Arabidopsis thaliana: one gene and its partner. The protein of the gene in region 1 interacts with the protein of each later gene in a pairwise test. Each region holds a gene or a part of one and is shown on either strand. Other genes may lie near its edges.

The links.
Region 2: the proteins of AT4G14480 (region 1) and AT2G01070 interact in a protein complementation assay, tested with the Arabidopsis thaliana proteins (one large-scale study listed by BioGRID).

What each region holds. Positions count from the first base shown.
Region 1 is NC_003075.7:8,318,982-8,334,877, reverse strand, and holds AT4G14480 (Protein kinase superfamily protein), read left to right. Parts: upstream 1-3,013; 5' UTR 3,014-3,333; coding exon 3,334-4,797; 3' UTR 4,798-4,972; downstream 4,973-15,896. Other genes in the region: AT4G14500 (Polyketide cyclase/dehydrase and lipid transport superfamily protein), read right to left, coding at 114-487; AT4G14490 (SMAD/FHA domain-containing protein), read left to right, coding at 1,304-2,464; AHL20 (AT-hook motif nuclear-localized protein 20), read right to left, coding at 13,061-13,906.
Region 2 is NC_003071.7:67,423-83,318, forward strand, and holds AT2G01070 (Lung seven transmembrane receptor family protein), read left to right. Parts: upstream 1-8,097; 5' UTR 8,098-8,173; coding exon 8,174-8,358; intron 8,359-8,435; coding exon 8,436-9,357; intron 9,358-9,457; coding exon 9,458-9,553; intron 9,554-9,722; coding exon 9,723-9,859; coding exon of another isoform or gene 9,860-9,878; exon of another isoform or gene 9,879-9,978; intron 9,979-10,052; coding exon 10,053-10,203; 3' UTR 10,204-10,443; downstream 10,444-15,896. Other genes in the region: AT2G01050 (zinc ion binding / nucleic acid binding protein), read right to left, coding at 915-2,462; AT2G01060 (myb-like HTH transcriptional regulator family protein), read right to left, coding at 6,034-6,528, 6,651-6,720, 6,818-6,875, 6,961-7,003, 7,087-7,163, 7,363-7,480; AT2G01080 (Late embryogenesis abundant (LEA) hydroxyproline-rich glycoprotein family), read left to right, coding at 10,616-11,224, 11,668-11,754; AT2G01090 (Ubiquinol-cytochrome C reductase hinge protein), read left to right, coding at 12,757-12,758, 13,184-13,268, 13,434-13,535; AT2G01100 (FAM133-like protein), read left to right, coding at 14,823-15,566.

The DNA of each region.
Region 1 (15,896 bases):
AAAGATAATGCAAACACTATATACCTTATCTAGCTAAATTAAAAGTAAACGTTACGTTTTAAAACAGAGAACTAAAACTTCTACATCTTCCAATAATTAAGCATTACACTAACCTTGAGGCCAATCCTGATTCATCATTATCCTCAACAGGCGTCTGCGACGAAGCTGAACCGGTCGCCGATTTATTAGCTCTGGTGTCATTCCTTGACCAGATGGTTCGGCAAACGGAGAAAGCAGAGAGAGCGGTGAAAGCAAGCCAAAGCCGACGAGCACCAAACCCAGGCGGTGCGGTCCATAAAAACCGAAGCTTAGAACGAAACCCTAAATAGATCAAACCGGTCCATCTTGGACGCCAAGACCATCCGATTAATAACCCGATCATAACGGCGAGCCAAATCGGAACTGCGCATAGTAAGATGTCGACAAATGTCTCTGTAAAAGAGGGATTCTTAAAGAAATTCAATAGATCAAAATAGGTCTCATCCATAGCGGATTCTCTAGATTCGATACTTTACTCCGATTTGGATAAAAAAATTTCCCGAGAAAAAATGTCAGATTCCCGAAGGAAAATGGGATTCGAAGATCGCTAAAAATTTAAGCGACATGAATCAGGAGAATCAAAGACGAAGACGAAGAAGAAGAAGAAGGGATAATAATAATTTTTTTCTTTTTATTTAATTGAGTTTGGTGATTTAATTGATTAAATCATAAAAAGAAAAAAATGTGTTCTGATATTATTTGCTGTGCTTGAAACGACGTTGGCGGGTGAAAGGAAATGATAAGGACAAGCATAGTGGCGATGACGTGGCGCTTTCGTTGACCGACAAGTTATATCCCACGCGTCAGATCTTAGCGCGTCGTGTTCACTACGTAGAGGAATATACTCAAAAATCAATTATTGTGTTAGCATTAGAAGCACGTTTTGTTGATTTGCAACAATTGTAGATAAGAGCCTAATTAATTTATAGGAGTAAGGTTAAATTTGGTTGATTTCGAATATAAAAGGGAATTTTAACAGTGGATATCCAAATGATGAGGTGAGATACACGCGAGGGTAAAGGAGCGTGAGGGGAAAAAGGTTGGAAAAAAAGTGGATAAGGGAGAGATAAGTTTGCTGAGAGATTCACGTGTGTTGCTGGAAGTTTGGGTAATCAATAATGCCAGTTGTTTAGCCAATAGTAGCTTTTAGCCTTGAAATTGTTTTATCGTCGAAACGATAAAAGCCCATTTAAGGCCCATTAATAATTGGAGCGTCAGACAAATCAAAATTTCAAAATTCGCATTTGGGAGAGAAACGGTAACAATGGTTACGCCATCGTTGAGATTAGTATTCGTCAAGGGTCCAAGAGAAGGCGATGCTCTAGATTACAAGCCTGGATCTACGATTCGTGTTGGTCGAATCGTTCGTGGTAATGAAATCGCAATTAAAGACGCTGGAATCTCCACTAAGCATCTTCGGATCGAATCGGATTCTGGGAATTGGGTAATACAAGATCTTGGATCTTCCAACGGTACTTTATTGAATTCGAATGCTCTTGATCCAGAGACGTCGGTAAATCTCGGAGATGGCGATGTTATCAAACTAGGTGAGTATACATCTATTTTGGTGAATTTTGTGATTGATGATTTTCAGGAGAAGAAGCTTACGAGGAACAATAGGCGTCAGGCTAATGCGAGGAAGCGAATTAGGGTTTTAGAAAGTATCAATTTGGGGGATATCACTGAGGAAGAAAAGGGTTTGGATGTGAAATTTGAGAACAAGCCGAGTTCTAGGGTTAGGAAAGTTAGGAAAATCGAGGATTCGGAGAAATTAGGGATTACTGATGGATTACAAGAGGATCTGGTGGAGAAAAATGGAAGCTTTAGGAATGTTGAAAGTATTCAGAGTTCATCTGTAAACTTAATTAAGGTTGAAATGGAGGATTGTGCAATGGTGGAGGAAAATTTAGGGAGGGGATTGAAGAAGAGAGTGAGCAGTAAGGCTACGAGGAGCAAGAAGATTGAAGAAAGTGTAGGAAAAGCTTGTTTGGGAGTGGTTAATGTAGAGAAGGTAGAGACTTTAAAGGAGAAGAGGATTACTAGGGCTACAAGAAGCAAGAAGATTGATATTGTTGGAGATTCTTATTTGGAATTGGACATGGTTCTAAATCGAGCCAGAAAGAACAAAGGGAAGAACAAGAAAGCGGATCAGAAGCCGTTGAAGAGCTTTGAAAATGATGAGGTTACTGATTCAGGAGAGCAGGGTTTAAGCTGTCATGTTGAAGAAGATATGAACAATGAACTTGATACAGATCTAAGAAAGATGACATTAGGAGCATTGTTCAGTTTTCTGGAGGGTCATCTGTCAAAAGAGATAATTCACAAGACAGAAAATATGATTGAGCCCATGCGAAGTAAAACTCAGAGAGTTCGTGAGTATATTTCAGATCAAAGAAAAGTTCAGGCTAAAGCGTGTATGTGTTGAATTGACAAAGTGTCCAACTGATATGGTGCACACTGATTATTGGTATAGCTTCAGTTCATGGAATAAGAAACACATACTGACAGGTACAAGTTTCTTATGAAGTAGACCTTAATGCTGTGGGATTGGCTGTGTTGCTTAGAGTTTTGACTGCATTGATTTACTTGCATTTGCTTTACGTGTGAGACAAAGTAAACAGTGAAGTGCTGATGTTTAAGTAGGTTTCATAAGTCTTTTGCCCACTTTATAGTATATGTTTCAAGGACATCCCTGAAGACTTATAAAACAAGTTCTGTTCCATTGTGATTTTATCTTAGCATATTGATGTTTGAATACTTGATCATTCATTTTACCAAATGTCAAGAAGGCTGACGTCTTTTCTCTAGTCTTTGTTTCCTTCTCATGTGGTCAAAGGCAAATGCAAGTTCTTCAGAAATGCCATGAAAAAAAAGTTGTAAAACGAGTCTAGATATCTAAATCTAGAACTTTAAATTTCTGTGAAATGATGAAAATAAATTTTCATAGCTCCATTTAATTTTTGTACCTTTACCGGTTTGAAGTTGAAATGATAGTGTTTGCCCTTTGGGTCCCTGGAAAGACCAAAGGTAAAATCTCATTAACTAAGGTTAGTTAGTTAGCTCTTTCACATGCTTCATCTTATTGTTTCATCAACATATTTTTAAGTAAGAGATAAGGGTTTTGCTTTTACATTAAAGGCTCTCTTTTTTTTCAAGTTCACATGCTAAACCAACTCTTTCTTTTTTCATCCCTATATGAATAGCCTCATGGTACTATTAGCCTCTAAAAGACCACAATTCCACTAAAAACATAACAATTCAATAAGCAAGAGTGTACTCATCTTCTTTCTATTTATGGCTCGGAACAAGCTCGAGTTCCCTCTTGATGCTGAAGCCTACGAGATCATCTGCAAGATAGGCGTTGGTGTTAGTGCTTCGGTCTACAAGGCCATATGCATTCCGATGAACTCAATGGTAGTTGCTATCAAAGCCATCGATCTTGATCAGTCGCGGGCTGACTTTGACAGTCTTCGCCGTGAAACCAAGACGATGTCTCTGCTTTCTCATCCGAATATTCTCAATGCTTATTGTTCATTCACCGTTGATCGATGTCTCTGGGTGGTTATGCCATTCATGTCTTGTGGCTCTCTTCATTCGATCGTCTCTTCGTCTTTTCCAAGTGGGTTACCAGAAAACTGCATTTCCGTCTTCCTCAAGGAAACTCTGAATGCAATCTCGTATCTTCACGATCAGGGTCATTTGCACCGTGACATCAAGGCAGGTAACATTCTGGTAGATTCTGATGGATCCGTGAAGCTCGCTGATTTCGGAGTATCTGCATCCATCTATGAACCCGTGACATCTTCCTCTGGAACAACATCTTCTTCTTTAAGGTTAACTGATATAGCGGGAACACCGTATTGGATGGCTCCGGAAGTGGTTCATTCCCACACAGGGTATGGTTTCAAAGCAGACATTTGGTCTTTCGGGATAACAGCGTTGGAGTTAGCACATGGAAGACCTCCGTTATCTCACTTACCGCCGTTGAAGAGTCTGCTCATGAAGATCACCAAAAGGTTTCATTTTTCTGATTACGAGATCAATACGAGCGGAAGCAGCAAAAAGGGTAACAAGAAGTTCTCAAAAGCTTTTAGAGAAATGGTTGGTTTGTGTCTAGAGCAAGATCCTACTAAAAGACCATCGGCAGAGAAGTTGTTGAAGCATCCTTTTTTCAAGAACTGTAAAGGACTCGACTTTGTGGTCAAGAACGTGTTGCATAGCTTGTCAAACGCAGAGCAGATGTTTATGGAGAGTCAGATTTTGATCAAGAGTGTTGGAGATGATGATGAAGAAGAAGAAGAAGAAGACGAAGAGATAGTGAAGAATAGAAGAATCAGTGGGTGGAATTTCCGTGAAGACGATCTCCAACTTAGTCCAGTGTTCCCAGCTACTGAATCAGACTCTTCTGAGTCCAGTCCACGTGAAGAAGATCAATCAAAAGACAAAAAGGAAGACGATAACGTCACAATAACGGGGTATGAACTCGGTTTAGGTTTGTCGAACGAGGAAGCTAAGAACCAAGAAGGTGAGGTTGTTGGGTTTGATAAAGATTTGGTGTTAGAGAAACTGAAAGTGTTGAAGAAAAGTTTAGAGCATCAAAGAGCAAGAGTGTCGATTATAATCGAAGCATTGAGTGGGGACAAGGAAGAGAAGAGCAGAGAAGAAGAGCTTCTAGAGATGGTGGAGAAGTTAAAGATTGAATTGGAAACTGAGAAGCTAAAGACCTTGCGTGCTGATAAAGATAGTGTTTTGGGTTAACTATTCTAAACTTGTTAATATTTTTTTTCTATATGCTAAAATTATATAAGTGGCATGACATTACGATCAATTGTTTTCAATTTAACTCGTTTTATTTGTCAGTTTAGAATGGCTCCAAATTAAGTTTTGGTAAACAAGTTATATATTCACCAAAACAACATATAAATATTTCCTCTTCATAAAATTTAATAAAGAACAATAAAGTAAAATCACAACAACAAAATGTAAAATTGATATGAATTACAAATACATATTCCCTATTTACTGATGTACTTCTTAGAATCAAATTTACTTTAATAGTCTACTAATTTGATTGTATTTTGCATCTTCAAACACTTTCATCTCGAAAGAAAAAAACTTAATGTTTTTTTTTTTTTAATGTAATGTTAAATTAGATTCAAAAGAAAAATGTCTTTTGTACAACAAGTGCAACGTGAGTTTGAAAAAGGCTAAATACATTTTAGATCAAAGAAACTAGTATAAATTTCTTGTTGCAAACCAAATTTGAAGTCCCGTCTCATGTCTTCTTTCTCCGCTTGTGTTCAGTGAAGAAAGTCGATCTCTTACTTGCTTGTCTATCCATCGGATTAAACGCACCGGTGGATTTGGTTGTTCGCCATGCCGCCGATTGTTACGTTTCCTCCAGATAGTATGAATCGTTGCTTGGAAGACATAGTGAGCTATGAACCGCTTTGTTCGATCTTGCCAATGACCCGAAGTGGCTGCAATCAAGTCATTCCAGTGAGTAGTATACTTTGCTCCATAGATGTTCCTTGTCAGAGCCTGCCAAATTTCTGAAGCGTAAACACAAGAGAAAAAAAGGTGATTTCTAGTTTCCAGCGTGTGATTACAAAGAGCGCATCCTGTGGAGAGTCCCTGTTCCAGCTAAGCATGCGATCTCCTGTTGCTAAACGATTGTGAGCCGCCAACCAGACGCAGAAAGAGAACTTGGGGGTCCCTCCTGCAAACCAGACGCTCTTGTGCCAAGTGACTACAGGCGAAGGTGTGCGAGTATGGTTCCAAGTATCTCGTGTTGAGAAACGTGGCCGATAAATATCCTTTCTCCCTTTCCAAAGAAAAATGTCCTCTGCCATCACTCTGTTTTGTTTCACCAATAAAGTTCTTGTTCAATGTTATTTAGAATTGCTGCTCGATGCGTACGTGAGCTCCTTCCGTCCCATGCCTCTGCAAGCGTCTTATGCTTACTAATCCCCATATCAATTTGGCCACGTTCGCCCACGACGTCAATCAATCTGCCCATGGTTGACCAATCATCATACCAAAATGAAGACCTTTCGCCATTTCTAATATCAACCTTAGAGAAATCTTTTGCAATGTTTCGGTATTTCAACAACTTTTTCCACATCCAAGAGCCTTGTTGTGCTGATCTAAGGGACCAGAAAGTGTTGTGCTTTAGGAGGTGGGTCTTAATCCACTTCACCCATAGCTAATCACCATGCGAGACCATTCGCCAAATAAGTTTCAGACAACATACATCATTTGCCTCTTTGATTGACCGCAGACCCAATCCTCCCTCTTGTTTTGGTCTACATATTGTATCCCAAGCAATCTTAGCCTTCTTAGTACTTAACTCTGGTCCTGACCAAAGGAAAGCAGAACAAAGCTTGTCGATTTCCCGAATACACTCACGTGGAAGCCTGAAAGCAGAGAGCCAAAAATTACATATACTCCATAAAACCGAACTGATCAAATTTAGACGACCCGCGTAGGACAAGAACCGGGCTGTCCATGTTCCTATTCGTCGTTTTATCTGCTCAAGAAGCGGGTTGTAGTCCTGAGATGTGAGTCTCTTGGTGACTAGAGGTAACCCGAGATACCGCACCGGGAGACATCCTACTTCAAAATGAAATTGTTCCTCAAACTCTTGGCGCACAGTATCAGAAATTCCTGCAAGATAAATTGTTGTTTTCTCCATGCTAATCTTGAGACATGATTGTTTTGCAAAACTGTCAAAGACCTCCACAATACCCTCAAGGGATCGAAGTTTCCCATCTGTGAGCACCATGATATCATCAGCAAAAGAAAGATGTGTTAAACCAAGATTTTTACACTTTGGATGGTATCCAAACTTCCTTAAGCCTGCAGCTCTGTCAAGCTTCTTGGATAGAACATCCATGACAATGACGAAGAGATAAGGAGATAGAGAACAACCCTGACGCAGCCCCCGTGAACTATTAAAGTATCCAGCTAGTTCCCCGTTAACCTGAACCGAGAAAGATGCTGTGGTAACGCAAAGCATGATCCAATGAACAAAAACTTGAGGAAAATCAAGAGTTAAGAGGACATTCTTGAGGAAGGTCCATTGAACTGAATCAAAAGCCTTGGAGATGTCAATTTTGATAGCGCAGCGTTCTGAGACTGAATCTTTATGATAGTCCTTGACTAACTCCGTTGCGAGGAGCAAATTTTCGATTAATAGGCGATGTTCCTTCATATAACTTTGGTCCTTTACAATGATTTTGAAGAATCTGGAAACCCTATATCAGAAATTCGTCGATTCTACATGAAACTCTACCCGGCCCTGAACGTGTTGCATAGCTTGTCAAACGCATTTAGTGATATCAAAATCTGACTCTCCATAAACATCTGCTCAAAATCAGATTTTGATATCACTAAACGTATTCTCAAAATCATTTATGCAGTAAACAAAAATATCACTAAACTTTAAAACCAACCCAAATAAGCAATCTGGGGGTTTGATTATGGGCTAAAATAGATGAATACGTTGGGCACAAAATACTAATTCCAATATATTTCATCTTGTTTCTACAAACCTGACTAACTGACCACCCAATCGGTTCTAGCTAGTCCCAAAACTTTGGATTTTGAACTTTGGTGATATTTATAGAATCATAAACAACAGTGGGATACCGGAGTTATATATGAATGTGAATTTGGTCATAGCCGATAGCCTAGTAGTCTAGTACCATAAATCCATAATACGTAATATAAAGAATAGTGTACAGTTCAACGGAACGGAAGAAACAAAAAAAGTAGAAATGGAATAGTAATTTACACATTGACAATAAAATACCACTTATATAACAAGTTTTTTTCAACTAAGTTTTGTAGGTAAACTGACCATCTCCATTGGGAGTATCTCATAAGAGTTTCTCACAATTAAAAAATTAAAAATAAAAAAAATGAAGGAGAGAGAGTGTACAAAGTTTCTCACTTGAGAAACTCCGAGATACTCTATACAATTCATCATGATAATTCTCATCTCACTATTGGTTCAATTTTTTAACAAAAATACTTTTTTAATCAAATAATCAAATTATAATATAATATTAATATTTTTTTTGTTTGAGAAATTTTGTGAGTTTCTCATTGATGAAGATGCCCTAAAATTACATAATTAAGCTTTTTCAACTAAGTTTAGAAGATAACATACGATGAGACAAAAAGAAAAAGTTTATTATGTGAATAAGATATCATGAACAAAAAAAGAAGAAGATGTGGAACCACATTTTATGTATTTCATTTTAATTTATACTACTAAATGTTGCAGTTTTTATGTAAAAATAAAATAATTTTGAAGAGAGGGTTGCCCGGTATTTACGGGAGGAAAAGCATGTACACGTGGGAGATGTTGTATCGGTCAAAGCTTCAGTTTCCTCTTTTGTCTTTTTCTTGTTTCAGTCTTTTTTTGCGCCTTTCCCATATTTCTTTCCTTGGAAATTTAACAACAATCTTTCCTTTTGTTTATTGTAAGCTTTTTTAAAAAATATATTTTGACTATCTAATCTCTATAAATTTTTCAGTTCTCAGTTTAAAAGTGTCTAAATTCAGCCAGAAAAACTACTGTAATAGTTGTGACATAGCGAATAAATGAAAGTTTTATATCTGATGGAATACTACTAAACAGGGCAATTTAAATATGTATACAGAAAATTGATATAAAAAGGAACAAGATTTTCCTTGGTTTATGATTTTTTTTTTATAAATACTTTTTTAATGAGGCTATTGGTACTCATTTACTTGTAATTTTTTATAAGAAAAATCACAACCAAAAATAATTTATTTACACCAATGAATGATTGTATTTTTATTTTAGTTTTTGAATAGTGGGACTCAAATTAATAATCTGATTGTATGTTTTTTCAATATTTAATATACGTTCATCCGGTTGATTTGCTAATGATAAACGTAAATGACACTTACTTTTCTAAGTTTCTAGAAACTGATTTTTTATGTGTTTTTGTTTCAAGCAAGTAGGTGGGGTTAGAAGATTATTATCCAATTAAAGGCCTTTAATTAAAGACAAAACTTAAGTTTTCCTTATGTTTAATTAATAAAAGTTAAAGAAAATATACAGAATAGGATGTGACTAGGATTAACTATAGACCTTTATGGCTTTATTTGGATTTTTCCATATATACCAATATTCTTTTAAAGTTACTTTATGTTTGAAACAAGTAAATATATTACTAATGCAATCACGAAGTGGGCAATGATGTAATACTTGATGGAAATCTTTTGTTTAGTTCAATCACACGAATCAGCTTATTAAGTATACATTTTAAGATTCCAACCAATTGTAAGTTAACTGATATTTTCGGTAACAAATGATTCTTTTGTTGGTAGGAAGTCTCATCAAAAATAAAGAAGAAGAGGATTTTTGGATGAGTCCGTCTTTAACATTAAGAAGCTAAATTAAAGAATCCTTTTTTAATTTGGAGGAATTATTAGGTGTTAACATTTTTTATTTATTGCATATTTAATCAATTTTTAGTTTAAAAATATGATCAAAACATATATAGTAATACTAATACTTAATATTAGTATCGTTGTATCACTATTTAAACTCAACATAATGTACAATAATAATAAAAAAAACATATATAAAGCTATACGAAAATGATTAATATCTATCAATTGTGTGGCAAGTAGATGATAGGGAACAAACATTTACTAGTAATTTCAAAATGATTTATGACTAAATGATTATTTGTATTGTGAAGAAAAAAATATTATAAAAAAGTTCATCCGCAGAAAAGAAAATTGTATTAATGACAGGTATATTAGAAATTATAATATTTAAATATATTGTGACGTACAGATTTTAAAACAACAATTATAAGAAAACAGGATGTTGTAGATTTGTAGGTGTAATTTTACTACAAATGGTTAGTATTAATTTCGTTTGTTTATTTGGTGGTCCAAATTTCGTTAATTAGGTTTAGTGGAAGCCTATGCTACATTACAGTTAGTGACTGAGAACGAGATTGCGGCTTTTCAAGCTCCCAAAGTGCATTGGATTTGTCAGAATAATTAGTGATTTCATAAAGATAAATTTATCAATACTTAAGAAAAAATGAAGGTTTTATTTTGACGGTGGATCTACTAGTTAGCAACTTAATCAGCACTACTCAATCTTCATTAACTCCAAACGAATTCATCATGCATCAGCAATTCAGCACTATTTAGTCATATACAACACCTATATATTATTACACAATAAGATAATAATTGAAACCAATTTTTATTTTTTTTGTTAGACTCAAAATCAAAAAATTTAATTATTATTTTCACTTAAGGAAAACTTCATATTAAGTAATTTGTTGCATAAATTACTTATGAAATTGTAAAAGGCTAAAAGCTCTTCTGAAATCCAAAGATTGGTCGGTAATAGAAAGAAAATAACGGAACTTATTCTATCGCACAATGAAATGATTAAAAAGGTCTCATTTATCTTGAGGCTGGGTTCAGAAAATGCTTGTGGCTGTTGCATATATATGTAGAGAAGCAACAATGAGTTTGTATTGGTATGAATAAAGCATAAGTTAACAATATCAAAACCTTGTATAAACACATTTATTTGTGTTTGTTTTAGTCGTAAAACATTATAGATTTTAGTTTGAAAGTAGCTAGGCTTGGAAAGTTAGAAATATGATGCCACCATATTACCATAATCTAGTTTGTGTGACGCATAATAATTATAGTTAATGGAGTAAATTGGTCCGATTAAGTAACTAAGGTTGTCTTTAAGCTTTGCAATGATGTGACCACATAGATGTTATTAATTACACGATATTATAATTATATTATACTAATAGAATAATTATATACGTCCCATTGGCTTTGACAATTGACACGTGAATTCATGTGAAGATGGTCCTTCATGTTGCGCCATTTCTAGGATCCCCCACTCGATTTGACGTGATACATATTGGTATCTACAAAGGAACTATACATTTTCATTAGTTTAATAATCAAAATTGTTAGATTGTCACTATTTGGCTGAAAATCCAGTTTAACAAATTGTCTAGTGGCATAAGGCGGCAGTATTAGTTTTTGGTAAGGTAAAAGACAACGAAAAATATAACAATACATTGCGAAGAATAGATCACAATTAGCTAATATATATGTGAAAGTTTTGATGTAGTGATGGTGATGTGTTTCGAATATTCTCTATTATACAATATTTGACTACGAGACTTAGTTTAGAAATAGAAAAAGATTTGAAGACGAGGAATAAAAAATAATTTAAAAATTAGTATAGTCCTTCAGAAATGTTTTTGGGTATTTTTCTGGTCAAATAGAGTATGAATAAGGTTTCTGAACGAGAAAAACAAAAATCATAATAGATGAAATTGCAGTTTCTTCTATCTGGGTCGGATCACATGTCGGATTCGAGGTTTTCAGAATTATTGGGTAATTATGTTGACCAGGGGATGTTCAAACGTACCATCCATACTCTAAACTTAAGTTACAAGAATGTATATATATTTTTTCCGTAACTGTTTGAATTAAACATCACATGAGTTATTTGTTTTTATAATCTTTTTTTTTTGTCTTTTAGTCGAACATATTCATTTTGTCTCTTGTACAATAAGCAAGACATGGTAAAAAAAAATTTTTGATTTATATTTCGTTTACTCAACATATAAATCTAGATTCAAGACTGAAAAAGAAAAAAAGAAAAAAAGAAAGAGAAAAGAACATAACAAAAAAAATGAAATTTTTTTACCTGAATGTAGACCAATTTGTTTGCAAACTATGTAGATAGATAACTTATCTAAGATAAGTACTTCCAATTTGGCGTGTTTTTTGGTGAGAGTTTAAGTAAATTTCTAACCTTGAAATAGTTGGTTCCTCCATGTTGTCCTATTAACAAAATCATCCCAAATTTAAAATAATATCCTTTTTTCCTTAGGAACCATATATGCAACCAATAATCCAAAACAAATGAGGTAAAAAAAAAGGTATTGAATTATGATTTATTTCTTGATTTTTCCTTGTGAATTGTCATTTAGAAACTATCTTCTATGATTTTGCCTAATTTTTGTAAACCAAATATTTAATGATATTTTTAAAATATATTTTTCTGAATATGCATGCTCTTAACTCATAAATCTTATATATCAAATTAGAGGGAATATATCAAGTTCTATTTGGAAAAAAAAAACACTAAAAATTACAAAAGTGCATTAACATCAATAAATGATCGTTTGGTAATAGTATTTTTTAGTTAAGACTTACAACGACTTAAAACTTCATAGTATAGGTTTGTAAACTTCCTTAAGTCGTTCTCGCCAACAACATCAACCGTTTTTTTTGTTCAGTCATAATTTTGTTTTAAAGCTTCTTTCGTGTCATGTACCATTAAATAACATCAATTAATACACATAGAGAGTACGTATATGCTTTTAGCTAGTCAACAATCTCTCATTCTTTTGTTTACATAGTCATATTAAAAAATTCCAATAGCATCATGACGCGAAGATTAAAGAACCACCACTATGGACCTATGGTAAAAACCTTAAATAAAAATGATCATGAATTAGAAATATAATATCGAAACGCACAAATAGGCAATATATGCTCTCAACGTTCCTTCATCGTTGAACCAGCATTAAATATATATAATAAACCCATGGTTTTTGAGCCAACCAAAATGTAAAGTATCTAAAGATCACAAAGGCAAACACATACAAATATTGTAGTTAAATACTACTACACAAAAACAAAAAGACAAACATTCTAATTTACAGTACAATGTTTATTTATTTCAATAATTTCGTGGAGTAGTAATACTGAAAATCTGAAAGTCCCTTAATGTCGTCTCTTTCTACCTTCCCAAGCTCTATATTTCCATTAAGAACAAACAAAGCTTTGATACTTATTTATTTTTCCAACCAGAGCAAAAGCTTTGTAATAGACTACCTCAAATTGCTTGCTTATATTCATCTATATATTTATTTATATAGACCATTATATATAGAAATGGCTCACTGAGTCAGTAAGGTGGTCTTGCGTGGACCCATGTATATGGTTCGTGCCCTAGCTGACCAGCCCCATTTGGAATCAGATGCGGCGGCATATTGTAGCCTGGCCCGGCCATCCCTGATAGATCAGGCAGGTTACTACCGATTCTGGGCGGTGAGTCACCGCCTCCGTGAATCTGTCTTGAGCCGCCACCGTCTTCCTCTTCTTCCATGGGCAATCTCTCATAAGTAGCGTTAGAGAAAGTAGCAGCAATCACCATGACCGACCCTATGGCTAAGAGTGGGCCTACAACGCTACCTCCAACGACCTGACCCTGGACCCCGGCTAAGTAAACCGTTAAACCGGTTGACCCGGGTGGGGAAGGTCCAGGGAGGAAAGCACCGGTTAAAGATAAGATTTCAAACCTGCCTTGGAGAGAGACCACACCTCCTGGTGCGGCGGCTTGGCGGAGGGTGACGTTAGCGACTGAGCCTGTCCCGCTGAGAACGCAAACGCCGCGTTGCCTGCGTCTTGAGAAGTGAGCGATTGTGTCGGCGACGTCACTGCCGTCGGAGATCTCCAAGACATGGCTACGGAGTGCGTTGGGGCTGTCTCTTGTCACAAAGATTGGAGCTTTGGGTTTGTTTTTGGATCCTGGTGGTCTACCTCTTGGTCTACGGTTGACCACCTCAACGGCTCCTTCTCTAGGATCATCTTCTTCGTCTTGGTCGTTGTCTTGGCTCTGATTCATGGCTATTCCAAGATCTCCTTTGGTAAGAAGACTTTGGTGGTGATGGTTTTGGTGATGGCCTGAGGAGACCGAATGGTCCACCATGCCCGCTAAACCACTCTGGTTCGTCCACCAAGGGTTTGCCATGATTGACCAAAAACTGGAAATTCGCTAAAAAGAAAGATCAAGAAATTGTTACCCTGATGATTTGCTTGAAAGGCCTCTAGGGTTCCAACTTTACAAGGTCAAAAGGTGTATATGTAGCTCTTTCTTGAAAAATATTATCTTTTCGTTTCGATTTCTCTAATTTCATATGAATTTTAGGAGTTGTTGATGACAAATAAAGAAGAAAAGGCTACGGTAGGAGAATTAGATGCAATTGTGGAATGGAACTAGAATCAAAACAAAGCTATTGAGACTTTGATTTTCTTTTCAAGAATCAATCAGAGAGAGAGAGAGAGAGAAAGTGGGCAATAATTAATTTTTCACAAGTTAGTATTATTTATATAGGGTTTATATAGAATCCAAGAACGCAATACTATGTGTGTACTCTCTTTTTATTAATATATAAAATATACTGGACAATTTTTATATGAGTCTATTTTAAATAACAGTGGGATTGAATACCGATTATGCCAAAGTCCTAAGCTCCATAACGTATTTAATGAATTCATCTTATAATTTTCTGCCAGAACTTTAATTATACACTCATATTACTGAGGTTGCCTAGACAAGTCTTGGGTTTCACATGGTGTAATATTTTAGGAAAGATCGGTTTATGGGGAAAACTATTTTAGAAAACATATTCTTGTTTACTCTGATACAATTTGTAAAACCCCAAGACCAAAAGAGATAAATGTATTGTGTTGGAATGTTGTGGCATGGGGAACTAGCCAGATCATTTTCTTCTTTCACTAGAGTAGTAAATATTAGTATCATATGTTTTGCAGTTTATACATACAATAAGTGTAGTTATCTTTAAATAAATGAAGAAATAAATGAAATGTAATTGATAGATTAGCATTGGAAATTAGGGTTAAGTGGGGCATAGTGCGCGTGAGCATTGGGGTGGTGGGGAGCACGTCATTTTCCCTTGCCCCGACGTCTCCACTCTCGACAACTCTTTTACCCTATTTCTATAATAAGATATGACTGATATTGATACGTTTGAATATAGAATCCAAAAAAAGAATAGTTAATCCAAAGTATCCAATCTAATTTACAAAAAAAAAAAAAAAAAATTTCTAATCTAAAACAAGTACTTTGTACACTTGAATATTTTGAATTTTCACCTAATAATTAAGTAGCTAACGGTTAAAACGAGTCAAACTTAGACCATCTATATAATGTATTCCTCTATTTCGTTTTTTTAAGAGTCAATAATCTGTAGCTTTAGTTATTATTATTATTTTAACTCATAACCTATGTTAAAAACAATATATATATAACATCAATATTTTAAGCCACAATTTACCGCTACAATCTCAACTAATCATCCCGTAAACCACAATTGAAACCATATGGAAAATTCTTGAACCATGTTCTAAATCCATAAGGTTTTTCTAAGCTAGTAGTTACAAGGCTGAATCTACAAGTTTAGTAACTTATCTTTGTCTAACTGGCTTTTAGAGGTATTTCATCTCAAAAACTCTTTGACACTCTAGTTAGAATTGAGATAATGTGAGTTGCCGGAAATTGAGAAAACTATGAGGAAAGAAGATAGATTTAGTTTTGGACCTAAGGCAAATATCTAGTTTTCATTAGCTTAGAAAAGATGTTAATGGAAGAGCATACAAGAAAATATTTGGGAGTTGGTACTCTTCAGCAGACGAATGTGACTATGCAGAGATTTTGACGAAGTATACGAACATAAAAGAGATTTTGAATCAATGTAGGCAGGACCGACTCAAAAATAGCAAAAAGACACAATGGTCTTTGTTCAAATTTGAAATATGGATCCTAATTACATAGAAATGTTTTTTTAAGAAAAACATTTGGTCCTTTAATACGCTAAATTTCATGTTTGTTTGAACATGGATCTCGTGCAAATGTATTCCTTGATAACGTCCGATACATCGGAGATTCAAGATTGGAGAAGAGAGACGAAGAAGAAGATAACAACTTTTCTTATTCAGCT
Region 2 (15,896 bases), on another chromosome or scaffold:
ATCTTTACCTGCATCAACAACACAATGAGATGCGTAAGTATTATCATAAATACTTAGTGAGGCGATCCTCCCATCTACGAGCTATACACACAAGCAAATAAAAAGGTATAATCACGAATACAATACAAACAAACCAGTCATTGAACAATTCACCCAAAACACATTCACCACACCTACATATCATCACACAACCCAATCGCTCAGATAAGCTCATGGTCACGCACTCACCTTAATAAATTGATTCTAATAGCAATTAAACCCAGGAGAGTCTCTCCTTGCGTCTGAAACAGTCCAGAAACGTCCGTTAACTATTCAATCGCTCCGGTGAAATCCTAGCTGCAGACGTCACAAAGCTGCCCACAAAATCTCGTCTCGATCGAAAAACAGACGAGACCACGATCTCAGTTTCAATCTCCGCTGGTCCTAATTCGCGTCTGAGAAAACGTGTCTCACGAAACTTTTACCACGGTTTGATATGACGAAACTGATTTCTCCCAAACCCTAACGATTCTGCTCATTCTCCTTTTCTCTCTTTTTCTCCTTTACAAAACGAAAAGTGGCTAACTAAAGCCCTAATTTCGAGTTTCCTTCTTTTATAGGCATACTCTAGGGTTTCCAATTAACCCAACCAATTAAACCGGATGATTTAAAAACAAACCCTAACTGATTTTCCGGTTCACGGCCGTTACACATCCACTCTATAAGAATTATCAAACCCCAGGCCTCGACAGATCCTCTCTGCTCTGTTCCCTCCAGCATGAGTTTCGAACAATGCAAGCAGGTCTGTTTTATAATTCTTCAACATAAATCGAATTGCTCTTCGAAAATTGGGTTTATTCGCCCCCCCTGCAGTTCCAGAATAGACAATCCATTAAAAATTGTAGAGTTAAATACCAAACTACCGGGGAAAAACGTCATGCCATTCCCTCACTGGAATTCCCCACTTCCGATCCTTCATGACTCACAACAGCTATTTCAGACATCAAATCCTCCCGCTGGAACCGCTGAGACAAAGTCGACGATGAATCCAAGTCGAAACTAGCCTCATGGGCATGCGAACCCATCGCACTTGAATACACACCACCTGGTCTCCCAACATCTCTTTGTTCCACACGCAGTCGCTTCCCGTTGGATAACAAATCCTCCCCAACTGGTACTGAGTTTGCATCTTTAGTAGGCCCAAATATTAATCCCCTAGCAGGCTTATTTGCGGCCCCATGTTTCTGTTTTGGCCCAATGGGCTCCAAAGCCTTCATCCCTCCATTACGCTTCCATTTAAAACCACCTTTACTCCCGCCTTTCCCTTTCTCCATCTGCGTAGAACCCCGAGCTTCCTTAACTAGTGGGACACCCATAACCTTCCCCACATTCCTCCCATGATATTCATTTTCCTTATTTGGCCCTTCTGTAATGGCAACTTCCCTTAAATCAGGCAAATCACCATTACCATCCAATCCACCAAATCGATTTGCGAGATCCACCCCCTGATTTTTAGGGAGTTCCCTTAACCTCTGTTTTGACCTACCACCAGACGCACCCACCGCAAACACCATCTTCTGCACCGGTGCCGCCGGCCGTCTAGCGGTGCGTTGAACCACTGTGAACCCGTCATCTCCCTCCATCCCAACAGGCACCACAGCTCTATCCGTAACCGTCTCTGCCCCAGCCGAAACTTTCACCACCACATTTCTTGGACAAGAATGAACCAAATGACCGTAAATACCACACGAAGAACAGATTTTAGACAGTCCTTCATATGCTACGAAGTATCTATCCCCATTGATTAGCACAGTCCCTTTTAAAGGTTTTGCTAAGTTAACCTCAATACACACTCGAGCAAAACGACCCTTGTCAAAGTTAATCGTATTCATATCAACCTTGAGTGGTCTACCCAACCCACGAGCAATCTCCATGAGTAAACACCGATGATAGTAGTTATACGGGATATTCGATAATCTAACCCACACCGGGGTAGTCACAATATCATCCCTCAACGGATCAAACCTTGACGACCAGTCTTGGACCAACAGATAGTTCCCAAGAACTCTCCATGGACCTCCGGTTAAAGCAGCCATATACTCCTCTTCCAGTTCAAACCTAATCATGAAAAACTGGCGGGGCAAATCCATCACTGTCATCACTCCCGACGGTTTCCAAAGCTCCCTTAGCTTGCGATTCAACACCGAGATCGGAATCTGGCTCCCAAGCACCTTCACTATCATACACTTCTTCCAAAGCCCATTCATGGCTTCCAACACCTCCTCACCAATGGTAATAACTGGCTCCTCGTCCTCACCATCTGGAAACTCCAGCCCCACCCGCTCCCTCACAAACTCATCATCAATCACGTCTTCTGGTTTCAAGATACCTCCCCCAGCACTACCCTTCACTTTCGTAGCCCACGACTCCAACTTATCCGGAGGATCCCCTGGTGGACGCCCCTTTTCTCCGACGTCAAGCATCATAGCATCTTGCTCACCAGATCTCACCGCCGTCGCAGAATAATTATATTAAAATATACTGTATATAAATGTTAGGATCCCCATGATACTTTTATCTAAAGAAATGTTAGAATACTTACGGATTTAAGATATATATAAATCCAAATTAAATTTTCAATTTTAATATTTTCTTCAACAATTTTAAATAATTATATTAAAATATACTGTATTTTCATATTAATTACGAATTTATATATATATATATATATATATATATATTAATTAGATTTAATTTTTTAAATTTAATTAATATTTCAAAGATAAAATCAAAATAATTATATCACTTTCTTAAAAAAATGAACAGTTCAAAAATGTCCACTCTGTAGAAACTCGTGCATGATTGGTTGGGCTTTAAATCTGACTTACAGCCTTAATTTTTCTTAAAGCCCTATTTTCTTGCTAACTTACAAACCAATGGTGTTGTAGCTTTCTTTTTAAACTTACAGCCCAAATTTTTTTTATTTTGTTTTTAAGGCTGTACTAGAGTAAATTCTCAAAGCCCTATTTTCTTGGCTATAGAAATTTTAATTCATTAGATAAATACAAAAAAAATTTATCAAAATATATATATAACAAAAACAAAGATAAATTCTAAAAAAAAACTGATAATTATCAAACCTAAAAAAAAAAAATTATATTGCAATAAATTTATGGAATAATCATAGATAAAATTTAGATTTATTTTATTAAAAATTCATAGGAGTTTTTTTATTTTTATATAATCATAATAAATATATCTAAGTTAGTAATATAAGACATTTTATTTACTATAAAAAAAAAATTTTATTACAACTATTATATTTACTTATCATTTTTTTATAAATATTTAAAAATAAAAACCTACAGCAGTAATTCTACAGCAATAAAAGTTACAGCTACAGCCAACACAGCTACAGCAAAATCTCTACAGCGAAAATTCTACAGTTACAGCCCAACCAATCACCCACCAAATATAAGTCGACTGTTTTGATATAGTCGGTAGAGAAAAAATTAAGTCGATGAAAATAAAATATAAGTCTACTAAGATTAAACAAAAAGCTGATAATTCAAAAAGTCTATCTTATTAATAAATCAACGTAAAATAAAATAAGTCTACTAAGATTAAACAAGTCGGAAAAACAAATTATAAAATTAATAATTAAAATAATAAGTCAACAGTTGAAAAAGTCATCTATGTAAGAAAAACAATTAACCAAAATGTAAATCGACTGTTATAAAATAAGTCGATGAAAAATAAATTTAGTCGACAAAAATAAAAGAGAATATTACATCAAGGGGCACTTTTTAAAAACATTTGACGTGTTCCAACACTTAAAAAACATTAGACACTTTTCCTTGTTAAAATGACTATTATACCCCAAAATTATTAGTAAGGCATATAACTGACGATTTTCTTATTTTTAAAGTCCAATTTCTCTTTAATCTTTTAGAAAATCTCAATATTCAAAATCAAAATTGAATCTCTTAGGGTTTCTCATCATCTACCATATTTCTCAACCATCTATCGCTTCTCTTCTTCTTCTCTGGAGATCTTTAAATACATTCATGAATCTGATTCTAAATCTCTGAAAGTCTCCAACTTTATTACAAAATTTGGACAACAGATACATGAAACATATGACGGTTTCTGTGCACTTCTCCTCCTCGTTTGACGACGTCGTTTATGGCCAAAGCCAACAACTTTAATTTCATTGTGTCCCCTTCAATCCATTACAGTCTATGATCCAATACAAATTACGAACCATTTGCTTGTTATCAACAACATTGTATCATATTCTCAATAAAATGTTTGTTGATGGATCTTGTATTAAAATATATAAAACGAACTGTTTAGATAAGTCTATGTGGCCAGTTTATATTGGATACACAATTAGAGACATTTCAGTTTGTAGAGACCTCCACCTTCAAGATCTTATGAACATGGAATTTTGGTTTTTTTACAAACCACAGTTAATCGAATCTTCTGTTATTATGGACATGGTATATAGAATGGATATGGATCAGTAAAAAGGTTTCTGAATGAATATATCTTAATGGACTTGTTATTATGGATACAAAACTATTGTTTGTTGATTTTTCTTTCAGTTTGCAGAGACCTCCACCTCCAAGACCTTATGGACAAGAAAATTTGGTAGCTTTACAAACCACAGTTAATCGCATCTCTTTTATTATGTACATTGTATAATGAATAAATATGTATCAGTAAAAAGGTTTCTTAATGGATATACTTAAATGGACTCGTTTTTATGGATATATTTAAATAGACTCGTTATCTTCTTTTTGTCTTCATGGGATTTAATCGGACGACTATTGTTTAATTTTAGCCCTAGATCTCGGCTGAATGATATTTCCGACGGTACGAAGGCTATGAAAACCAGATCTTCAGGTAACATTTCGATCATCATCTTCCCGAAGAAACCGAGTTCGTCGGAGATGTCGTCTCCGAGTTTGCAGAGATGGTTACCAGCGGCGAGAGGTGTTTCCGGTAATTTAAGAAAGGAGAAGATGAGTATAGTTAAGGAAGAAGCAGTGATGAGAAGAAATAGGAAAAACATTGGATTCTTCAAAAAATGAGGTTTCTTCATCGTTTCTATTGCGTTGATTTCATGGATAGATGTCTGCTTAAGGAGAAAGAAGAAGGAAGAAGATCTGAGAGAGAGGAAGACCTTTTTCATCAGATATAAGATTAAAAAAAAAGCAAATTTCATTTCTTTTTAAAGAAAATATTACGTGATTAGACAGTTATTTGGAAATGATATAATTGTCCTTTTTACCTCCAAAAACAAAGAAAAGTGCCTCATCCCTGAAAAGTGCCTCAAAAAGAATAAGATTTTGTAAAAGTGTCTAAACGTGTCACATTCCCAAAATAAAATATAAGTTGTCAATTCAAAAAGTTCCTTATTACACTGATATACTAAGTATTTTCTTATAGTAGAAAGAGTGTTTTATATGAAAGCAACATTGTTTCTTAGAAAATATTAAATTTTTATTTTGTTGATCCAAAATAGTTTATTTATATTTGAGAAATTTAATATATGAGAACTGTAAAATACAACGTTTGGAGAGAACGTAACACTAGAAAATACCATAAAGAACACAACCCGTGCACTCACCTCATTACCGTCATCGACAAGACCATTCGAGATCGCATCACCAGTCTTTATTATCAAGGCACCAGCAAATATGCAAACCTTCAGAACGGTGCAGGCTTCACTAACGTGATAATTTGTAATGTTCTGTTTTGAGATCATCTCCAGGCCTAGCTAACTTTATGCTAGGTTATTCAGCTGTGTATGTTTAAATGCGGCATGCGTTACTGTTTTGATAAAGTAGCTTTAGAAGAATGTAGTGTGTTGGGAATAAGAGTAATTTTGTTTTGTGTTTACCAAATTACAGCACAACACAGACATATTCATTCTTCATGCTCGTGATAGTGCCTAGAGAATTAACGACTTGTGATCACATTATTAGAGGAAACTCCTAACTAATAAGGATTAGGATAAACAACACTACATGTGGTACACTCAACAACTCAAAGATTATCTCCTGAAACCTTATCCAACTGTTCTTCGGCCCCAAGCAGTGATGTAGATGGCTGGTCAAAGGCGAGGACATGGTCTGACTGATGGTAAGAAGTGTTCAAGCCTGATTCTAGTATTGGGTGACCCACTACAATATCAGGTGTATAACCAGCTGCACCTCTCACCAATCGAGGCTTCTTTGATAATCTCTCCTCTCCTGTGCTCTCATCTGGAGACCCAATGTTACACCCTGAGTCTGGTGTTAAAGGCTCCCGGTAAGATGAGAGAGACTCGTCAACTGAGAGACTTTTGTCTGGTCCACAGTCCTTGCCAGACTTGTCTTGAAGAGGAGACTCAGATGTTGGGGCAGGGGTTGCAGGATCTGAATCGCCCGTTACTGGGGCTGAGGGTTCGCCGAGTACTCCACTGAGTCGTTGTTGCTCTTCAATTATCTTCTTCAAGTACTTTCCTTGTGCTTCTATCCGTAGTTGCAGCTGTCTTTGCACCTAAGAAAAAATCACATCAAAGAATAATGTCATATGTAATGCAAAATTCAGTGCTACACTGAAAATCCTACTAATTGTTTCGTTGTTGCTTGTCTTTCTTAAGTAGGAATGGTGAAGCATACTTCTAGTTGCTCGTGTAATCGTTTCTGAACTTCCATCTGCAACTTGAGGGCTTCAGTTATCTGCATTCCCCTGTAATCTCGAAACGATATTGATCACTTAATCTGCGGCGCGAGGTAATATATATATAGCATCACAAATCAAGCTCAAAGAGGGAAATTTCACGTACGACGAGCCGTCCAACCCAGAGAGCATATCTCCAGATTCTTTCTTATCAGTTTTTTTCCCTGAAAATTGAAAAAACCAGTTTTCAGGTATATAGGAAACTGGTAGAATGAGAAAGAAGATGAAGAAAATCAATGTCCACACTACCTTCAGAAGACGAATCTGGAAGATACTTTGCAAGTCGATATTTCTGACTCAAAATACACAAATGCAAAAATCAGCAAGGGTAAGAGAAAGAGAGACGAGACAAGATGCCACACAGTTTGAGAATACCTGTAAGTGACTCTTGACATGATATATAGTTAAGCCTTGTACACCCATCACTCTAAGAACGCCTTTGGGTGTAGCTCCTTTGGAAATCAAAGGAAGAAAAATGTTTAGGAACCCTAAGCAAACAGACGATAGGCTTTCCCTCTCATGGATAGTAGTAAAGCATACAAGAAGAGCAATTTGATTATATTGGTGTGCATATTATTACCACAGATATTGATGAGGAAAACATGAGTTACTAAATTTACCATAGACTATACAAGAAAAAAGGAAACTTACTATCAGGGCCACCAAGTTGAGCAACGGCATCAACGAAGCGTTCATGTAGCTCATGCGTCCAACGCAGACGTTGTTTGGATGCATGACTAGAATTGGGGCCTCCGTTGTCTGCTTCCATCAGGGCTAAGATATAAACACGATAAAGGGAAAGTAATGAGTAGTGGCAAAGCTAGGAAATGATAACATATGAGGACTGGCCAGAGAGAAAGAGATAGAAATGGAAACAAGGAAGACGAAATAGCGCCCAGAATTAGCTAGTAAAAACAGTCCAAGTCAAGTTTAAGACTTGCTCCGGCAGATCCACCACAGGACACCAAAATCAGAGACATGTTCACTAAAATCGGAGGAATTTGTCGCCGAGAAAGCAAAAAGAAAACACAATCCAAGGTTATGGAATCTACGAACCTGTGGGTGGTGGATCTATACACGACGCCCCTCCATTTTCGGAACTTGCTCTTCTCCAAGCTAAATCTTATCTGAAATAGAAGATATTGTGTTACAGACTAGTTTACTGAGTCCGGTGGGTTACAGGGCGGGCGGCGATGGAGCAGAGTCCTCCTCAAAAAAATTCCAGTCTTCTTCTTATCGCTCGATCGACGAATTCCAGGCAGTGGCATTGACTATTGCTGCATTTCTTTCTGGGTAAGCCGGGCCTCTCGGTATAGGCCCAAACCATTCTAAGGCCCAAACCATTATATTAAGTTGGTTGGTCCACCAAAGTCAGCAGCAGCTAGAACAAGAGCGACTCTGCAGCTGCTCTTCTCCCGCTTCCTTCCTGTTAGTTAGCCTCAGAGATCCTCGTTCCCCGATAATGGATTTGGGAAAACTGATCCAGCTGTCTGCGCTGCTGTGCCCATTTCTTCTATCATTACACTTTAGAATCGCTGGGGCCTCCGCCCACATCTACTCTTCCCAGCCCTTCCACGATGTCGGTAATTCTCTCCTCCTCTACGGTGGCAGCGAGGGCATCTTCGCCTCTTCCCGATCTTTAATCAGGTATATTCTATGGATTACATTTTCAACTCTTTTGATGCTCTCTACTCTACTCTACTCATCCTCCCTCCTCACTGCAGGTTTGAGAACATCACTCTCTGGAGGACAATTACCGGTAAGGGCCACCGCAGCAATGGGTTAGTTCAAGCAGTGATCTTTGAAGCCTCCGATCGTAACAATATCGGTGGTTCAGCTTACGGAGGCCAAAGATCTATTTGCTGCACTCCAGATCTGGCCAAGCTTCAAGGCTGTAAGCAGGGTGAGATCATTAGGATTCCTTCTCCACATGACCCTCAATGGCCTATCCTCTTACCTGTCCGCTTTAAAGGAAAACGCTCGTCTGCTAAGATGGCAGACACTGAGATTCTTATCACCAAGACTGGAATCTATAATCTCTTATTCATATCTTGTGATCCACAACTTAAGGGCCTCAAAATGACCGGAAAGACTGTTTGGAAAAATCCCGACGGCTATCTTCCTGGTAGGATGGCTCCACTCGTGAATTTCTATGTCTATATGTCTCTCGCTTATTTGTTGCTCAGTGCCGTCTGGTTCTTCCAGTATTTGAGGTTCCGGATGGATATATTGCCACTTCAACATTGCATTACTGCCGTCATTCTTCTAGGATTGCTTGAGATGCTCTTTTGGTACTTGGATTATGCTAATTTTAATCACACGGGGATGAGGCCTTTAGCCCTTACTACATGGGTTGTTACCATTGGTGCCTTGAGAAAGACTGTTTCCCGCATTCTCATTCTCTGTGTTTCCATGGGATTTGGGGTTGTCAAATCTACTCTTGGTGGTCTCACTTCTAAAGTCCTCCTTGTTGGAGTTACTTACTTCATAGCTTCTGAGATCCTTGATATTGCTGAGCACGTTGGCATCATTGACGATATGTCCGGAAGATCAAAACTTTTTCTTGTCCTTCCTGACGCCTTCCTCGATGCATTTCTCATATTGTGGATATTTACCTCTCTTTCGAAAACACTGGAACAGTTACAGGTATCTCTTTCTTTCTAAATATAGCCATCAGACTCTGTAAGTTGTAAGGGTTTTGAGGCAAGATTCATCAGACCAGCTATAAAATTCTTTATTACTGCAGATGAAAAGGACCTCGGTGAAGCTGGAAATTTACCGCAAGTTCTCAAATGCACTCGCTGTGATGGTTGTTGCCTCTGTTGCGTGGATAGTGTATGAGGTACCATCCTGTCAAGCCTGATTTGATGCTGATTTAGTAAACTCAAATCTTACCTCTAGGAAACAAACTGCTCAACTAAAACTGGCTTTGTTTCAAGCTAGGAAAAAAGAAGCTCCTTCTTTCTTGGAATATACCCAGCTTGCTTGCCTGATGATTTGTCCCCGTGCAGGTGTATTTCAAAGCAACAGATCCATTCAATGAACGATGGCAGACTGCTTGGACTATAACTGCCTTCTGGGATGTTATCGCATTCTTGTTGCTATGTATTATTTGCTATCTCTGGACCCCCTCGCAGAACTCCCAAAGGTATGTTACATCAACTTAAAAGGTTTTGATACCTCTCGGGCATACCAACAAATAAGCATGGTTTTGTGGAAACGGTTTCAGCTGAGCATGTTGTGGGAAGTCTTGGCTACATGCTAGTGGTTCTTATGTAGTGGTCCAATTTTGGTGTTCCTGGGTGTGATAGGGATGCTAATATGAAACTAATGATGGACAGATATGCATATTCGGGAGACGTGGATGAAGAAAACGAGGAAGCTCAATCTCTGACAGGGGGGAAGCAAGATGGTGATATTAGCTTAGTTAAGCAAGAGAAGAATGCGGAGTCGGACAGGGAAGAAGATGTTGAAGAAGATAAAAGAGAGTGAGGAGAGTCAGTATAGAAACGACGTGGCATCTGTGTTTGATCAAGAGTTGACGAAAATATAAATATCAGCAAGAGGTCAGCTATATAGCACAAAGCAACGACGTAATACATATATATGATGTAACTAAAGGATAGTAACTGTGTGTTTGTATTTGTTTGTTTTTTTAATATCAGATCCAACATTTTTTGAGTCATCTCTAACCCTTGTCTGAGTGTGAGATTTGCCTAAAATTGCTGTAAATTACATTATTGATATTTTTATTGGTGGTTAAAATTGTGAAACATTAATTTGTCAATAATACTAGAGTCCAGACACGGAAACAGGGTCTCTCTCTCTTGTTGTGTATAATTTCAACACCGCTATTACAGAAGAAGAGTGAAAAGGGAGAGGGAGCTTCCTGCTTTCACTTACTATGCCTCCTCCTCCTTCTAGTTCTAGAGCAGGTCTCAACGGCGATCCGATTGCTGCTCAGAACCAGCAGCCGTATTACCGGAGCTACTCATCGTCGTCGTCGGCGTCGCTGAAGGGATGCTGCTGCTGCTTGTTCTTGCTGTTCGCGTTCCTGGCGCTGCTGGTACTGGCGGTGGTGCTCATCGTAATACTGGCGGTGAAGCCGAAGAAGCCGCAGTTCGATCTGCAGCAAGTGGCAGTGGTGTACATGGGGATCTCCAACCCAAGCGCTGTTCTGGATCCAACCACCGCCTCCCTCTCCCTCACCATCCGGATGCTCTTCACCGCCGTCAACCCAAACAAGGTCGGAATCAGGTACGGTGAGTCCAGCTTCACGGTCATGTACAAAGGCATGCCACTGGGGAGGGCGACGGTGCCTGGATTCTACCAGGATGCGCACAGTACGAAGAACGTTGAGGCCACCATCTCCGTCGACAGAGTCAATCTTATGCAAGCCCACGCCGCCGATCTCGTCAGAGATGCTTCCTTGAACGACCGAGTGGAGCTCACAGTCCGCGGAGACGTGGGGGCTAAGATCCGAGTCATGAATTTCGATTCACCGGGTGTTCAGGTTCTTCTCCCTTCTTTTCTCCCCGCATTTTGCTCGCTCAGCGATCTGGCCTAACCAGCGCAGTGTGAACACTTTTGACAAAGAAATTACCACACTTTTTGAGTAAAAAATGCGGGTAAAAAAAAAAAAAAGTGGTTGCTAAGTTAAATAGATTCCTTACACCACTAGTCATGCTCTTGTCTGTCCCCACTCTGCTTTCCTTTTGGCCTTTGCTTCTCCTTCACTTTTGATATTTTTTCTAGGATCATTCATCCACGTCTATGCCACCACCTAAAAAGCTATTATATGTTATATATTGAGGTGTAAATTACGAACAACGACACCATCTCCTTCCTTTCACTGGTTTATAGTGTATTGATTTAAACTAATAATTTTATCAAAAAAAAAATATATATATATATAAAAAGATTCACTCTGCTTGCTAATATATTGATGCATTGCAGGTATCCGTGAATTGCGGGATAGGCATTAGTCCCAGAAAGCAAGCTCTCATTTACAAGCAATGTGGCTTTGATGGCCTCAGCGTCTAATTCCAAAACTGTAACATAATAATATTATTATATATATATTTGTACTGACTACTCCCAACTGCAGAGGAGTTGCAAAAAAAGATCCAGCCAAACTGGTAAAGAAATGTAACAAGATCCATCCTTCCCCTGCCTTTTTTGGGAAATTTTTGTTTCTACTAGCAACAATGTTTGTTTACCATAGATACTAATCAGTAGTTTACTCACGCTGCAATCGCTTGGCCTATCTAAAGTGCATACATTTCTGTTAATCAATTAGAGATATGCACTCATTTTCCCACATGGACAGTTACGTCAACACTCAAGTTGAAATGAACTGCTCCTGAATTGACATATGGTTTTATTACTGATTTTCTTGACGAGAGCACCGGCAGATTCAAAAGTAGTCTCAGAATACTTAGTCTTGGTTAATATGTAACTGAAATGACCCGAGACTATTCTTTTTGGATTACATATATGAAGATAAGTGATCAGTTCCTACATCGACTATCCTTTTTTCAATCCTCCTATCAGTTTGTAGCTTTCTTTTTCCTCCAGAGCTTCCGTCAGTTTACCTTGTATTGCACACTGGGAAACCTATTCACAAGTCACAACCAACCAACCTCTGCCCATGAATCAAGAGAATATTGTGTGTATGTATCATATACAATCTAACTCGGCCTCTCCTCTCAACTCAAATGTTACCATCTTTCTTCTGACTTTTATTTTCTACACCATGGGCTTGAGGATGTTGGACATTAACGGGCTACTTAAAAATGTTACTTGGTACAGGCCCATATTGTTCACAACGGAAACGGCAACTAGACGTAGAAGAAGAGGAAGAAGAAGACGATGAAATTGGAGGAAATCGAATCGAATCGAAACATTTAGGGTTCCTCCTTCCTTGAGGTAATAATGTCAATTCTTTCTATGTATCTACTTTGGTACATAAAACATTGTCGCTCACATAAATTTTGATCCGTTGTTCTCTCAGAGTTCAGGTCAAGCTTTCTTTCCAATTTCGCCATGTAAGTTCCTTCGTCTTGTCTAGATTCTGCGTTATACCACCGTTAGGGATTTTTCTCACCAATGTCCTTTCTTTATTCTTTTGCTCTCTTCATTTATTAGATCTCTAGCAATTTCTCTCTAAATTGAGTTATCCCCTTAAGCTATCAGATAGTATTGGTATTCCCGTCTTGACACATAGTAGTAAGCACATCCTCTACAGTTTAGTTTGTTGGGTATTTACTTAATGGCACTCTCCGTTTTCTTGCTTTACATAAAAATCTTGAAGAGCTTTGTGTGTAACATGGGAAGCTTAGCTTCATCCCTTAAACAGCCTCCTACTTTGACAACAAAAATTGCTATGTCATAGTTATGAACGTTTTATTCGTTCCTTAGTTTGCTTATCTAACCTTTGATTTTCCATCCTACTCGATGGTTATAATTACAGGCCAGAAGAAGATGTTGTTGATCAGAAAAGATACTTTGAGGAATCTTGCAAACCAAAATGTGTGAAGCCACTACTTGAATATCAGGTGAATACGACTTGAGCTGTCACTGGTCATAACCTTGTTTTGCATTATACGAGTCATTTGACATAGAGAGAGAGTTGATTGCTTTCGGTGCTGCTTATCTATCTCACATCACATGGCTTCTTAGTGCTGCTCAGTTTTAACATCTTGTTGTTGTGGGTGGTTCAGGCGTGTGTCAAGAGGATCCAAGATGATGAGTCTGGCCACAAACATTGCACTGGGCAATATTTTGATTACTGGCATTGTGTTGACAAATGTGTAAGTGTGTGAGTGCTGTTTTTCTGTATACACCTAAAGTTTCGCGAAACTAAAATGACAAAGACAGCTACTTGGAGTCTATTTTTCTTTCCAGGGTTATATAAAATGATGTGGATGCTTAACATTACTACTGCAAACCATAACTAACACGGGCTCCGTCCGTGTGGGTTTTGTTTCTCTGGCAAACTGCGATTGCTTTGTTTTCGTACTGAGTTTGTGATGCGTCCATTAATGTTTAATGATAAGTGGAGTAATAAAAAGGAAGAATCCGATTCTATCTTAGCTTAGGTCCATTTTATTCAACTGTTTGGTATGAAATCATTGAATTAATTCAAAGCACGTTGGTGTTAAACGTCTCCAGTTTCAAAGTGCAAACATATTAACAAGGCACGATGACAAAACGGCACGCTGTGCTTTGGTTTTGTGCATAAACGGCACGCTAACCAAATGTGTACTGTATATAAATACATAAATACTAATAATTACAAGTCTTCAGAACAGAAAGGCAAATTTCTCAAAGGAAGCGAAGCCCTAGCGTCCTCTCTCTGTCTTCTCGTTTCTGCGCCGGTAAGCTCTCTCTCAGATTTTAGATCTCATCAAGATCTAACCCTTATATCTCTCACGGATCATCATCGATCTTTCAGATCTGTTTTCCAATTTTCCCTGCTGATAGCGTCTTGGTTTCTCTAAATCCGTTGATTTGTTTTCGTCTCTAGTTTTTTTTTTTTTTTTTTCGTTTTTACATGCCTGAGTCTAGCGTAGACTTTCTCTGACTTGACCCTCTTTTGCAGATTCGTAGTCTGTTGTGCGCTTGCCTCTCCTCTTTTGGATTAGCATACCTCTCACTCGCATCAGGTAAGAAGTTTGGTTCAGATTTAGTGAATCTCATTGCTTTAGTTTCAAAGCTTATTAGCTCTCTGTGTTTTTGCGTTGGTTATTACGTTGGAATACTTAACCCTTATAGCAACTACTGGAATTTTGCTGAAACATAGTTAGTCTCTATGCTTTGTTTGGATTGAATTGATTATGATGGAATGCAACATAGTTATCGCTGTGCCTTGTTTGGATGGAATGTTTTACCCTAATAGCAACAACTGTGATTTAGCTGAAAGTGTTTTTTTTATTCCTTCTGTATTAGCATTGTGTAGTGTTCTGTATTACCATCATGTAGATACTCTCTGTGCTTTGGCTGGACTGATTGATGGAAGAGCTAACATTGTTTTTTCTTCTCTTTTGTGAGATGCACTTTTGGTTATCCTCATACCAAAATGCAGATTTTCAGTTGCTTTTTCTATCCAAATGGACTGCAAGAAGTTCATCCAGATGGTCGAGGAGAAGAAACGAAGAGTTCTTGAGAAGCAAGAAGCTCCTTTGAAATGGGAGCAGAAGCTAGAGGCGGCTGCGAATGCCAAAGCAGACACAGAAACTAAAGTGAAGAGATCAAAGGGCCCTAAGAGAAAACAAAGGGCTGCGTCTGAATCTAGCTCAGAAAGTGATAGTAGCTCTGAGGTGAGAAGAAAGTCTAGAAGATCTCACAATAAGCACCGAAGACATGCACACTCTGATTCAGATGACAGTGATAGGAGGAAAGAGAAGAAATCCAGGAGGCAGAAAAGAAGGTCCTTGAGTCCAAGCGATGATAGCACTGGTGATTATGAAAGTGGGTCAGAGGATGAGCTGAGGATGAAGATAAAGCACCATCGGAGGCACAAGTGGCATAGCTCAAGAAAGACTTGCGATGATGACAGTACCGAAGATGTGAGAAGAAAACATTTAAAGCATCACAGGCGCAGTGAGGTGGTCACTTCAAGTGATAGTGAGGAAGAGAGTGGAAGAAGAAGGCGAGGCAAATATCACAGGCACAACAGAGGTTCAGCCTCCTCGAGTGGCTCGGAAGAAGATAGTGGGAAAAGTATGAAGAGAAGGCAACATAAAAGGCATCGTTTGGCTGAGTCTTCAAGTGAGGAAGATGGGGCAATGAGAAGGACTAGGCATCATAAACATGGCAGAGATTCAGCATCTGAGTCTGATGGAAGAAGGTAATCAGATGAGAAAAGAGAGCACTACTTCGACAAATGAAAATGGAAAATGTCTTTGTTTAATTCACATCATAAGAACTGAATCTTGTGGTAAACCATCAGCACATGATTACTACCCAGATGTTGGGACCCAAATACGATGAATATTGTGTTGAATTACTATGGTGGCACTCTGTTCTTAGATTTTCATTTTTACATTTGTAGCAAGAATGGTACACAACCAATTGAACTCTGAAATGCATGTGCAGATGATGGTTTTTATTTTGATTATACCTCGTAGTTAAGAGGAGTGTGTTACAAAATAAGATCAAATCATCTTGGTTTTTATACTCTG